Linked DNA regions of Stegostoma tigrinum. The protein of the gene in region 2 interacts with the protein of the main gene of each other region in a pairwise test. Links are inferred from orthologs where the notes say so. Each region holds a gene or a part of one and is shown on either strand. Other genes may lie near its edges.

Evidence for each region. The genes of interacting proteins can lie anywhere in the genome.
Region 1: the proteins of kifbp (region 2) and docking protein 2-like interact in a two-hybrid assay, tested with the Homo sapiens proteins (2 studies listed by BioGRID and IntAct). The two-hybrid records come from large-scale screens. The link is inferred for Stegostoma tigrinum from reciprocal best matches to the Homo sapiens genes KIFBP and DOK2.

What each region holds. Positions count from the first base shown.
Region 1 is NC_081393.1:2,333,501-2,340,538, reverse strand, and holds the start of docking protein 2-like, read right to left. Parts: upstream 3,067-7,038; 5' UTR 2,776-3,066; coding exon 2,716-2,775; intron 1-2,715. UniProt on the Homo sapiens protein: DOK proteins are enzymatically inert adaptor or scaffolding proteins. They provide a docking platform for the assembly of multimolecular signaling complexes. DOK2 may modulate the cellular proliferation induced by IL-4, as well as IL-2 and IL-3.
Region 2 is NC_081373.1:57,846,715-57,854,153, forward strand, and holds the start of kifbp (KIF-binding protein), read right to left. Parts: upstream 3,088-7,439; 5' UTR 3,065-3,087; coding exon 2,711-3,064; intron 1-2,710. UniProt on the Homo sapiens protein: Activator of KIF1B plus-end-directed microtubule motor activity. Required for organization of axonal microtubules, and axonal outgrowth and maintenance during peripheral and central nervous system development.

The sequences.
Region 1 (7,038 bases), on a different chromosome or scaffold from region 2:
TGAGAGAGAGTGTACGCTTGTGTGGATGTGTGAGAGAGAGTGTATGATTGTGTGTATGTGTGAGAGTGTACGCTTGTGTGGATGTGTGAGAGAGAGTGTACGCTTGTGTGTATGTGTGAGAGAAAGTGTATGATTGTATGGATGTGTGAGAGAGCATGTATGATTGTGTGTATGTGTGAAAGGGCATGTATGATTGTGTGTATGTGTGGGAGAGCGTGTACGATTATGTGGATGTGTGAGAGAGAGTGTACGCTTGTGTGGATGTGTGGGAGAACGTGTACAATTGTGTGTATGTGTGAGAGAGCGTGTACGATTGTGTGTATGTGTGGGAGAGCGTGTACGCTTGTGTGGATGTGTGGGAGAGCGTGTACGCTTGTGTGGATGTGTGGGAGAGCGTGTACGCTTGTGTGGATGTGTGGGAGAGCGTGTACGCTTGTGTGGATGTGTGGGAGAGCGTGTACGCTTGTGTGGATGTGTGGGAGAGCATGTATGATTGTGTCTGTGTGTGAGAGAGCGTGTAGGATTATGTGTATGTGTGAGAGAGTGTGCACGATTGTGTGGATATGTGAGAGAGTGTAATAAAGCCAAAGAATAATTCTGAGAACAGATGGGATGAGGGAGAAGCTGTGACACATTGGGTGCAGCAAGAGGGAAAGGCCTGGATTTGAATACTCTGCTTCAGACCCAGTGGCGCATGTTTAACCTTGCTGTGCACACAGGAAAAGGGCTGGGAGATGGCAATGGCAAATGCCATCCTTTTGTCCCAATGGATATTGTGCTCCATTGGCATGAGCAACATTGGACAAAGCGCAAATCTGTCTTCACTGTGCTGTGTTTTTTCATACTATCCTGTCTATTGAGGAGACTTGCACTGAAGTAAGGCTCCTGCACTCATTTCAAAGGCTCCAGTTTTTGTCAACAATGAACAGAAAAGCAGCAGAAGGCATCACAAGCTTTTCTAGGCAACTCAACAGAAACAGATTGAGCAGAACGACCTGTGAGGGGCATGTTCACATGCTCTGAACACTTCAGTCTCACATGGAATTGTACACTGCTCTTCACATCAAGGCTGAGATATTTTAACATAATTAGGACAAAGTAATTGCCATGAACATGCCAGTTTGGAAAAGCATCTTGAGAGTCCAAATCCACTTCACAGACTTGAGGCCAGAACCAGGCATGACAGTGCAAGACTGAGGGAGCGCCGCACTGTCGGAGGGTCAGTACTGAGGGAGCGCCGCACTGTCAGATGGTCAGTACTGAGGGAGCGTAACACTGTCAGAGGGTCAGTGCTGAGGGAGTGCCGCACTGTCAGATGGTCAGTGCTGAGGGAGTGCTGCACTGTCAGAGGGGTCAGTGCTGAGGGAGTGCCGCACTGTCGGAGGGTCAGTGCTGAGGGAGTGCCGCACTGTCAGAGGGGTCAGTGCTGAGGGAGCGCCGCACTGTCAGAGGGGTCAGTGCTGAGGGAGCGCCGCACTGTCAGATGGTCAGTACTGAGGGAGCGCCGCACTGTCGGAGGGTCAGTGCTGAGGGAGCGCCGCACTGTCGGAGGGTCAGTGCTGAGGGAGCGCCGCAGTGTCGGAGGGTCAGTGCTGAGGGAGCGCCGCAGTGTCGGAGGGTCAGTGCTGAGGGAGCGCCGCACTGTCGGAGGGTCAGTGCTGAGGGAGCACCGCACTGTCAGAGGGGTCAGTGCTGAGGGAGTGCCGCACTGTCAGATGGTCAGTACTGAGGGAGTGCTGCACTGTCGGAGGGTCAGTGCTGAGGGAGCGCCGCACTGTCGGAGGGTCAGTGCTGAGGGAGTGCCGCACTGTCAGAGGGTCACTGGTGAAGTGGCTGTTTTGAGATTAGAAATGAAACTGATGCCTTGTCTCAGAGAGAGCAGGAACTGCAGCTGCTGGAGAATCTGAGATAACAAAAGTGTGAAGCTGGATGAACACAGCAGGCCAAGCAGCATCAGAGGAGTAGGCAGGCTGACGCTCCGGGCCTCGACTCCTTTTTGTCTGCCTTTTGCAACGGTAGTAGATTCGCCAACTTTAGGTACATTTAAGTCGTCATTGCACAAGCATATGGACGTACATGGAATAGTGTAGGTTAGATGGGCTTGAGATTGGTATGACAGGTTGACACAACATCGAGGGCCAAAGGGCCTGTACTGTGCTGTAATGTTCTATGTTCTATGTTTTTATGATGGACGTAGATAGCAGAATTGCTTAGATGAAGGAAACCGGGTGTCAGTTTTGGAACAGTGATAATGGGAACTGCAGATGCTGGGGAATCCAAGATAACAAAGTGTGGAGCTGGATGAACACAGCAGGCCCAGCAGCATCTCAGGAACACAAAAGCTGATGTTTCGGGCCTAGACCCTTCATCAGAGAGCCAGTTTTGGAACCTTGCCTTTTGTAAATTAGCACCCGTGTTTTTCTTCTGTAACTTTGTAGAAATCTGTTTTCGACTCTGTAGCACATGGGGATTTGACAGATCAGTTCTCTGTTTCTTTATGCCCGGAACTGAGCACTGCTGCATTTGAATCATACTAATGTGCCTCATTTCAATGAAGCGAAGCTACAGAAGATTCAGAAAGAGGTGCTTAAGCAGGAAACTCGGTGAAATAACTCAGGATGAGTATCTCCAAATGCCAAATTAAAGCCCGAGTCCCCCCGACTCAAATTACCAGCCCCACTCTCCAAAAAAAACATTTTCAAAGGTGTCTTTTACCTTTCCAAATTTCTGTTGCATCTGCACGTGAAGTACTCCCTGTTTTATGGCCTCTTCCATTTTAAGTTCATCGTCGTGTGCCAGTGCGGGTATGTCAGGCACTACGAGCTCAGGGACTGTGGCTTCGCTGTGCTTCAGCAGTGTCACTGGAGGTTGGAGTTCGAGCCAGCGCCGTCCCCTCGCACCCGGCTCTCACACCCCAAAACCAAACTTGCAGCACATCCGAGACACAGTGCATCAAGTGGCCGCAGGTGGAGCATCGTCTCCAACACAGTCAAAGAGAAACTGGTGCACTCTCATACCCTGACAGTGATGAGAAGGTGGAACTCACTATCACAGGACTCGCTGAGTCGAAAGCTGTAGATGGATTGATAGCAATTTGCATGACAATTAATCTCTGTGAGTTTCCCTCCCCTGCCCATTGCTGGCTCTTGCTTGTTCCTCTTTCACTTTTCTTGAGTTTAGCACAGTTCTGCCGTTCCTCAGTTTCGATGACGTCTGATCATTAAACTCCGCTTCTCTCTCCAAACAGGCTGGCTTGAATAGCTGATGACTTCCAGCACTTCATGTTTTTACTTCCTATTCCCTGTGCTTGTGGTATTTTGCTTTTGTGAGTTGAAGTGAAAGCTGAATGAAGAGCCGAAGGAGAAGGGAGCTGAGGGATACAAGGTTAGGTGGAGGGACAGGTCTGGTCGGGGAAGTGGTGGCGACCGCCGAAGGACCTGGGCAGGCCAGGCGGGTGGGAAAACTGACGGATGGAATACAACGTGGAAGTCTGAGATTATGCACTTTGGCAGAAGGAATAGCTGCAGAGACTGTTTTATGAATGAGAAAAGCTTTGCAAGTCTGTAACGCAAAGAGATTTAGGAGTCCTCGTTCAGGATCCCGCTCGGGTTAACATGCAGGTCCTTTGGAAGTTAGGAAGACAAATGCAAGTTGGCATTCATTTCAAGAGGGCTAGAATTCAAGAGCGAGGATGTAATGCTCAGGCTGTACAAGGCTCTTATTAGACTGCATTCAAAATATTGTGGGCACTTTTACGCTCCATATCAAGTAAGGAATTACAGGCTTTGCATTTGGTCTGGGGGGGTTCTCTAGAATGATCCTGGAGATGAAGGGCTTGACTTTTGGGGAGTGGTTTAGGGCTCTGGTTCTGTCCTTGATGGAGTTTAGAGGGATGGCAGAGGATCTGCTTGAAATTAACAGAATACTGAGGGAGCCTCGATAGAGTGGACACAGGGAAGATGTTTGCACAAGTAAGTGAGGCTAGTAACCAAGGTTCCAGCCTTAGAGAAAAAGGACAGCCTCTAAAACTGAGATGAGGAGGAATTTCTTCAGCCAGAGGGTGGTTATTCAAGGGAACTGATTGCCTTAGGCAAAGTCATTGAGTGTTTTTCGTAAGGGGCTCAAGGGTTATGGGGATAAGGCAGGACAATAGGGTTGAGAAACATATCGGCCATGATCAAATGGCATAACAGTCTCGATGGGCTGAATGGTCTGATTCTGCTCTACTGTCTTATGGTCATATGGATTCATTGCTGGGATGAGGTGAAGAGGGCTCGGAGAAGGCTTCTCCTCAAGCTGAAATACTGGCATGCACCTGGTGGGCTAACCAGCCCTGTGTCATTCCTTTCACAGTTGAGTTGATGTTACCGTCAGCAACGTTTGCTGGTCCAGCTCTGTGCTTCTGACAGTGTGAAGTTTCAGCAGAGCTTAAAACTGGGAATTTTTAAACCAGGTTAAGGCCTGCCTCCATCTGGCAGCAAACAGTAAACTGCAACCCATGCTTGTTACCGCAAGGAATATTTCAATTCAATATAACCTAAACCTGCATGTAAAAGTGACAATGGTTTGAAATTATTGCACAAGCTGCAAAGTACTCTGGGACATCTTTGACTTCATGGAAATTCCTGGACCATACAGCAGTGAGACAGGCCATTTGGCCCATTCGTCTATGATGGTATTATACTCGTTGCTCAACCATTCTCTGCTCAGAGTTGCCACTTTTCTTTCTCTGCCTTCTCATTGTCACATAAGTATCTCATTTCCCTTGCAAAGTGCCTCAGCTGTTTGCTTCAGGCTTCTCCTACGGTGGGAAAGATGTGACCTTCGTGCAAGTTATTTTAAACAAAAGCTGCATTCGACTATGAGACATAGGAGCAGAAATTAGGCTACTCAGCCCATCGAGTCTGCTTCACCATTCAATCGTGTCTTTGAGGTGCCTGATTGTTGGTTGCAAAAGTCAGTGATGGGTGGTCTACCAAGCATGGTTTCTGCATCCTGCTGGTCGGGTCCAAAGTGTAGAGGACCTGCAAGCTTTAGAAGACACTGAATTGAAGGAGCTATATTTCAGGAGGAATTTAGCATGTCCTCAAAGTGGACAGCATTAGCATTGGAACTTCAAACATCAATGATGGCCCTTGTTCACTCTGTAGCAAAGAACCAGGCACCATTATGGACTGGAGGTAGTCCCATTAAAGTCTGACTGCACATTGTAATAGGGTATTTCACAGGAACCCTCAAATCAACCTTTGCATATTGACCACACATTATTCTCCAACATAGACACAGTGTTGTTGCAACATTTTGGGAAGTCCAGTGAGAACGTCTCATCCAACAGGGTCTCAAAAACTATACCTGGTGTAACTTACAGAAACACAAGCCTTTTTGGAACCACTGATGACATTTTGACATTGTGACTTCTACCCAGATGAAGATTTGAGAGCCAAGTGCGGCTCAAAAGAAGTCTCATTTAGAAAGGCTTCCACCTTTAACAGTCTTGTGAGCAACCTGAAACCCTGTCTGCACACACTAGGTCAGTACAAATAGATGATATACAAAATAACTTCAAGAACTGCAGATCCTGGGAATTAGAAATGGCTTGGAAATTTTAGCAGAGCTGGTGGCATCTGTGAAGATAAAGCAAAGTTAATGGTTTCGGTCGAGTGACTTCTACAGAACTGATTGGCTGAGGATAAAATTGGTAAAAAAAATGCAGGAGATGAGGAGTGATTGAGAAGTGATGGAGAAAGAGGCCAGCGAGAGAGAGAACAAACACATGGATGTGGGGAATCAATTGCTGCCAACAGGGACCAGTAGTAGCTAACACCTAGGTGGCACGGTGGCTCAGTGGTTTGGGGTGGCACGGTGGCTCAGTGTTCGGGGCAGCACGGTGGCTCAGTGGTTCGGGGCAGCACGGTGGCTCAGTGGTTCGGGGCGGCACGGTGGCTCAGTGGTTAGAGGTGGCATGGTGGCTCAGTGGTTCGGGGTGGCACGGTGGCTCAGTGGTTCGGGGTGGCACGGTGGCTCAGTGGTTAGAGGTGGCACGGTGGCTCAGTGGTTCGGGGCGGCACGGTGGCTCAGTGGTTCGGGGCGGCACGGTGGCTCAGTGGTCAGGGGCGGCACGGTGGCTCAGTGGTTAGGGGTGGCACGGTGGCTCAGTGGTTAGCGCTGCAGCCTCACAGTACCAGGGACCCGCGTTCGATTCCACCCTCAGGCGACTCTCTGTGCGGAGTTTGCACATTCTCCATGTGCCTGTGTGGGTTTCCTCCGGGTGCTCCGGTTTCCTCCCACAGTTCAAAGATGTACAGGCTAGGTGGATCGGCCATGCTAAATTGCCCGTAGTGTTCAGGGGTGTGTGCGTTATAGGGGGATGGGTCTGGGTGGGATGCTTCAAGGGGCAGTGTGGACTTGTTGGGCCGAAAGGCCCGTTTCCAAGCTGTAGGGAATCTAATCTAATCATGGGCTGTTTGCAGTAGCAGCATGTGTGTTGATAAGGCTTGGTGTGTGGGAGTTCAGGTAAGGATATGGAAGAAAGTGTTCGGGTCCTAAAATGATCAAACCCAATATTGACTTCAGAACAGCATTAGCAGCCATTGATTCCCCCAGGCTGACCTTTACCCACTCCTCTCTCTCTCTCTCTCGCCCCCTCCCCCCACTCTCTCTGTACTTCAACTCCACCCATCATTTAATTACCCCCTCTCCCCAACCCCGTTCCCCGTGCCTTGTACGCTCACTGGTTCCCCACCTACAATCAGTTCTGCAGAAGGGTTACTGGACTCGATTTCTCTCTGCAGGTGGTGCCAGACCTGCTGAGATTTCTGCTTTTGTTGCGAATACATGTTGATGGGAACTGAGAACCTCACCCTCACCAGCTCGTGACTGTGATCACCCAGAATGATCCATGGAACATGTTGCCATTAATGGCCAATTCGCCAATAGAATTATCACAGAATCCCTGCAGTGTGGAAGCTGGCCATTTGGCCCATTGAGTTTACACCAAGCCCTCCAAAGATCATCCCACCCAGACACACCCCCATTAAC
Region 2 (7,439 bases):
CAGAATCTGTTATCAGTTGAACAACTTCTCTTGTGATTCCATTCACCTTCTTTAATAAAATGTGTCGCAATGGGTACCTGCATGGGTTCTAGCCCTGTCCACTATCTGGTCCCCTCCTGAACCACACCCTGCAAGCCCTGGCCCTATCCCTGATAATAAAATGTGAGGCTGGATGAACACAGCAGGCCAAGCAGCATCTCAGGAGCACAAAACCTGACGTTTCGGGCCTAGACCCTTCATCAGAGAGGGGGATGGGGTGGGGGAACTGGAATAAATAGGGAAAGAGGGGGAGGCGGACCGAAGATGGAGAGTAAAGAAGATAGGTGGGGAGGAGAGTATAGGTGGGGAGGTAGGGAGGGGATAGGTCAGTCTAGGGAAGACGGACAGGTCAAGGAGGTGGGATGAGGTTAGTAGGTAGGAGATGGAGGTGCAGCTTGGGGTGGGAGGAAGGGATGGGTGAGAGGAAGAACAGGTTAGGGAGGCAGAGACAGGTTGGACTGGTTTTGGGATGCAGTGGGTGGAGGGGAAGAGCTGGGCTGGTTGTGTGGTGCAGTGGGGAGGAGAGGACGAACTGGGCTGGTTTTGGGAAGCGGTGGGGGAAGGGGAGATTTTGAAGCTGGTGAAGTCCACATTGATACCATTGGGCTGCAGGGTTCCCAAGTGGAATATGAGTTGCTGTTCCTGCAACCTTCGGGTGGCATCATTGTGGCACTGCAGGAGGCCCATGATGGACATGTCACCTAAAGAATGGGAGGGGGAGTGGAAATGGTTTGCGACTGGGAGGTGCAGTTGTTTATTGCGAACCGAGCGGAGGTGTTCTGCAAAGTGGTCCCCAAGCCTCCGCTTGGTTTCCCCAATGTAGAGGTAGCCACACTGGGTACAGTGGATGCAGTATACCACATTGGCAGATGTGCAGGTGAACCTCTGCTTAATGTGGACAGTCATCTTGGGGCCTGGGATGGGGTGAGAGAGGAGGTGTGGGGGCAAGTGTAGCATTTCCTGCGGTTGCAGGGAAAGGTGCTGGGTGTGGTGGGGTTGGAGGGCAGTGTGGAGCGAGTGGTCTCTCGGGAAAGCAGACAGGGGTGGGGCTGGAAAAATGTCTTGGGTGGTGGGGTCCAATTGTAGATGGCGGAAGTGTCGGAGGATGATGCGTTGTATCTGGAGGTTGGTGGGGTGGTGTGTGAGAACGAGGGGGATCCTCTTTGGGCGGTTGTGGCGGGGGTGGGGCGTGAGGGATGTGTTGCGGGAAATGCGGGAGACGCGGTCAAGGGCGTTCTCAACCACTGTGGGGGGAAAGTTGCGGTCCTTCAAGAACTTGGACATCTGGGATGTGCGGGAGTGGAATGCCTCATCGTGGGAGCAGATGCGGCGGAGGCGGTGGAATTGGGAATAGAGGATAGAATTTTTGCAGGAGGGTAGGTGGGAGGAAGTGTATGCTACGTAGCTGTGGGAGTCGGTGGGCTTGAAATGGACATCAGTTACAAGCTGGTTGCCTGAGATGGAGACTGAGAGATCCAGGAAGGTGAGGGATGTGCTGGAGATGGCCCAGGGAACTGAAGGTTGGGGTGGAAGGTGTTGGCGAAGTCGATGAACTGTTCGAGCTCCTCTGGGGAGCAAGGGGCGGCGCCGATACAGTCATCAATGTAACGGAGGAAGAGGTGGGGTTTGGGGCCTGTGTAGGTGCGGAAGAGGGACTGGTCCACGTAACCTACAAAGAGGCAGGCATAGCTGGGGCCCATGCGGGTGCCCATGGCCACCCCCTTAGTCTGTAGGAAGTGGGAGGAATCGAAAGAGAAGTTGTTGAGGATGAGGACAAGTTCGGCAAGGCGGATGAGGGTGTCGGTGGAGGGGGACTGGCCGGGCCTGCGGGACAGGAAGAAGCGGAGGGCCTTGAGGCCATCTGCATGCGGAATACAGGTGTATAGGGACTGGACGTCCATGGTGAAGATGAGGTGTTGGGGGCCAGGGAATTGGAAGTCCTGGAGGAGGTGGAGGGCGTGGGTGGTGTCACGGACGTAGGTAGAGAGTTCCTGGACCAAAGGATAGAAAATGGAGTCCAGATAGGTGGAGATGAGTTCGGTAGGGCAGGAGCAGGCTGAGACGATGGGTCGACCAGGGCAGGCAGGTTTGTGGATTTTGGGAAGGAGATAGAAACGGGCCGTGCGGGGTTGGGGAACAATGAGGTTGGAGGCTGTGGGTGGGAGGTCCCCTGAGGTGATGAGGTCATGAATAGTGTGGGAGATGACGGTTTGGTGCTTGGGTGTGGGGTCATGATCGAGCGGGCGGGTCGAGGTGGTGTCGGAGAGTTGGCGTCTGGCCTCGGTGATGTATTTATTTATTCCAGAACACTCACCCCATCCCCGTCTCTGATGAAGGGTCTAGGCCCGAAACGTCAGCTTTTGTGCTCCTGAGATGCTGCTTGGCCTGCTGTGTTCATCCAGCCTCACATTTTATTTTCTTGGACTCTCCAGCATCTGCAGTTCCCATTATCCCTGGCCCTATCCCTGTCTGACTGACTGCAGGAAACGGCTGTCACGCTCCCTCACCTCCCATCCTCCCTATCGCCCCTGCCTAACCCCCGCAACCTCTGCTCTCCTTGTCCAATGCCATCCTCCGATTGTGGGGGTGATCTCAGGGACCTGCCCCATGTCGGGGTTGTGTTTGCGTCCCCCAGGTTCCGGTTGCCAGGAGACCTGCGCTGCCTCCTCACCTCGGCCTGGAGGAAGACGGACACGCCCCCGGGGCTAAGCCTGAAGGGTTCCAGGATCTGGATGCACTTGGCCAGGTGCTCCTCACCGGCGGACAGCTCCTCTGTCTCCGTGTGGTTGAGGCCGAGCTGCAGCTCGAGCACCGCCGCTTTCTGCAGCCAGTCTCCAGCCTGGAGCGGCTCATCGTCCCGCGGCCCCAACGATGCTTTCAGCTCCTTCAGCAGTTCCCGAGCCTTGTACTTGGAGCGATAAGGCTCCGACTCAGGGTCCCGCTTCGACTCTACCTCCGACAGCCTCAATGCCCGGGAGTATCTCACGCTCAGAGCCCTGTCAAGGCCGCCTTCCTGCGCCGCCATTTTACCCGTAATTACAGGGCAGCACTGCCCTCCGCCGAATGCGGAAAGCACTGCAGACTTCAAAGACAGCGCCTTCCGGCGGCCAGGAGGGGAGACTGCTGCATCTAAGCCCCAGAGCAGGAAAGCGGCTTCGCTGAGGGATTATAAAAGGGTTAGTGGTTAAATTGAAAAGCAGTACCTCGATTAGTAGCTTATTACCTGAGCCACAATCAAACTGTTAAGGGGCAGACAAAATCAGACGGATAATTGTGTTTTTTGTGTAAGGGACCACGTTTTCCTTTTTTTTGAAACTGAAATGCAAGTTGGCTTGCTATAACCTAAAATCCAGTGTTGCAGTTTTAAAAAAACGAAGTGCTGCATAGTTTGTGTCGATGGGCGCTACAGTGGTGCACTTTAATACAGTAAGAAGAATTTTGAGACTGAGGGTCACCATGTGTCTTTCAAGTACAGGCCCTTTGGCCCATGATGTTACGCCATACTTTTCCCCTAATCCTCAGGCCTATCTAACTTACACCCCTACCTTATACTATCATCCGTATGCCTATCTAATAGCCACTTAAATGCCCCTAATGAGACCAACTCCATTACCCTGTCTGACACCACATTCCACACCCCGACCACTCTGAGCAAGGACCCTACCTCTGACGTCTCCTCTGTATCTACCTCCACTCACTTTAAAACTATGCCCCCTCACAATAGCTACCTCCATCCTAGGAAAAAGACTTTGGCTGTCTATCTATACCTCTGATCATCTTGTACACCTCTATCAAGTCACCTCTTATTCTTCATCGTTCTAAAGAGAAAAGCCCTAGCTCTCTCAACCTTTCCTCGTAAGACCTTCCCTCCATTCCAGGCAACATCCTGGTAAATCTCCTCTGCACCTTTTCCAAAGCTTCCACATCATTCCTGTTACAAGGCAACCAGAAGTGGACACAATATTCCAGATGTAGCCGAGCCAGGCTTTTGTAAAGCTGGAACAGAACTTCAAGGCTCTTGAATTCAGTCCCTCTGTTAATGAAAGTTTACACACCATACACCTTAACAACTCTTATCCGCCTGGGTGGCAGCTTTCAGGGAATTGTGGATGTGTACCCCAAGTTCCCTCTGCTCCTCCACACTGCCAAGAATCGTTCTGTTAACCTTGTATTCGGCTTTGAAGTTTGTCTTTCCAAAATGAATCACCTCACACTTTTCAGGGTTAAACTCCATTTGCCACTTCTCAGCCCAGCCCTGTATCCTATCACTGCCTATTTCTAACCTCGAACAGCCCTCTGCCATATCCACAACTGGACCCACCCTTGTATCGTCCGCAAACTTACTAATCCACCCTTCCACTCCTACATCCAAATCATTTGCAAAAATCACAAATAGAAGCGGACCCAGAACAGATCCTTGTGGTCCACCAATCGTAATTGAGCACCATGTTGAATATTTTCCATCCATTACCACCCTTTGTCTTCTAAGCGTCAGCCAATTCTGAATTGAATCTACCACATTTCCCCTATCCCATGCTTTCTTACTTGCTGCTTGAGCCTACCATGGGGAACCTTATCAAACGCATTCACTGCTCTACCTTCATCCATGTGTTTGGTCACCTCTTCAAAGAATTCAATAACGTTTGAGAGGCATGGATCTACCCCTCATAAAGCTATGCTGACCATCACGAATCAAACGGTGCCTATCCAAGTGATCATGAATCCTATCTCTCAGAGCCCTTTCCAATAATTTGCCCACCACTGAAGTAGGACTAACTGGCCTGTAGTTTCTAGGATTATCCCTATTCCCTTTCTTGAATAAGGGAATGACATTTGCCACTCTAATATCTCCCAGCATTATACCCGTGGACAGTGAGGTTGAAAAAAATCATCAAAGGCCCTGCGATCTCGTCCCTCGCTTCCCACAGAATCCTTGGATAAATCCCATCAGGCCCAGGGGACTTATCTATCTTCAAGTTCCTCAAAATTCCTAGTACATCTTCCTTACTAACACTGACCTCCTCTAGCCTACCAGACTGTTTCACAGCCCTCTCCTCCAACTAGGTACCTCTCGGTTATGAATACCGAAGAAAAATATTCATTAATGAACTCTCCTATCTCTTTAGGCTCTGTGCACAAATTCCCCTTACAATCCTTGCTCGGCCCTACCCTGTCTGGTCATTCTCTTATTCATCATGTACGTGTAAAAAGCCTTGGAGTTTTCCTTGATCCTATCTGCCAAGGTTTTCTCATGTCCCCTTATAGCTCTCCTAAGCCTAATATTGGCAAATGGGACTAAATTAATTTAGGATATTTGGTCAGCATGGATAAAAGGGTCTGTTTCCATGCCTGACCTCTCTATGACTGCTCTAATAGATGTAATTTGTATGACTGAATAGCCGCTACAAAGATCTGGCTGCTAGACAGCAAAGGCTGAAACCTGAATATACAAGGATTCGCAACATTTTTTGGAAGGGCATGAAGTCAAGAAAAGGTAGATCCGTACAATTGAAAGACTTGACCTTAGTTCTAAACAGAAAGATATAAAATCATTTTTGGTAGACATATAATAGTAGAGGTCAGAAGTCACTTGTAGGAGCATTTTATATTCTTCTTAAAAATAACCATACCGTAGGATGGGAGTAAAGAAATAGTAAAGAAATAATGGGTAGTTTGAGAAAGTTAATGTCAATAACCTGGGTGGTTTTCAGCTACATATAGATGAGCCGAATTAGTGAAAATGGTAGCCTGGGAGATGAGCTCAGTACGTTTCAGAACTGTTTCTTAGAGCAGCATGAATTAGAGCTAACCAGAGAACAGGCTATACTCGATCAGATGTGCAACGGGATAGGATTAATTTATAATCACATAGGGAATGTACACTTGGGTATCAGTGATTATAATGATTTAATTCTGGTCTTGAGGGAGAGAAGAATGTATCCAAGACTGCAGTGTTTTAAACTTAAATTGGGCAGTTATAAGGGTATGAAGACAGAGCCTGGAAAAAAAGAGAGAAGTTAGAGTACAGATAAGTGGAGATGAAATTGCAGACATAACATTCAAGATAGCCATTCCAGTGAGAAAGACTCGAGAGAAATGAAACACCATCCTTAACTAATCAAAGTAGTTAAAGATTGTATCAAAATTGAAAGAAAAAAATGCAGTTCTGTGAAGAGGGGCTGTTCTAATGCAGTGTGCAGTGCCCCTACCTCTAAGCCAGGAGGCCTACGTTCAAGTCCCAACTACTTCCGAGGTGTGCAAAAACATGAAATGCATATTTGTAGAAAATATCTACAATTCAGTAAAGATCATGGTCAGAAGACTGGACAGAACATGAACAAAGAATAACTGAGAAAAGGGAGAAATTACAGTACATGATAAAACTAGTGAGAAATATCAAAATAGTCCAGACAGATATTTAAAAAGGAAAAGCATGTGTCAGCGGTGGTCCTCTGGAAATAATCAAGTTGGAAAATGACAGACAATTGAACAGTTATTTTGCTTATGACTAACATTCCAGGAATAATTGCAAATCAAAGAATGAAAGAGATGGAGTATCTTAAAAACAATTCAATCACCCAAGGAAGGAATACTAAGAAATTATTAGAATGAGAAGCTGAAAAGCCCTCAGATCCTGATGGATTTCATTCTAGAGTCTTTAGCTAATCCAAAGAGTAACAGTAGAGTTGACTACAATTATGCTTTTCTCCATTGGCATGTAAAAATTTATAACTTAGGCTTGATTTTAATCCTTGGTTTAAAATCATGAAACATTTGGAAATATTGTCTGCTGCTATTTTGTAATTTTGATTCGGTGTTTGGAGTAACTGATTACTTTTACACTATTAAGTTAGTCATGAATAATCAATCCTGCTTGGATGCACCAAAGCTATAATATCCACCACATCCAATAATATTTTTTCCTTTAACTGAGTCACAGCTATTTTACCAGTAATGTCCCAATAATGCTATCCACCGAAAGGTATAGACTTTACTCCCCCAGAATTATGGGTCACCTATTCTGCTGAGTTTGGAACTTTGGTCAGAAGACAACAAACATGGAGGGCAGGACAAAGGAGCCAAAAGGTTAAATTTTGCTGTTTTGGAGATGTTGCTTGAATGTTTTGTAATTTAAATAATAGGAGCCTCTCAGAAGTGAAGAATTCTTTGACAAACCCTTGACCTAACATTGAAAACATTCTGGTTCTTCCTCAAAGGAAATTTTAATTGTCAAGGAGCACAAAGAAGTGAACCCTATTTTCATAAAGCTGCAGCTGAAGCTTTTAAATTAAAGAGCATGTAATAGTGATGTATATGGGCCATAGATCGAGAAAAGAGGAAAACAACAGCATTCTCTTGCAGAGGAGGCAGGTTAGACAGGGCTTATATGGCAACTAGAG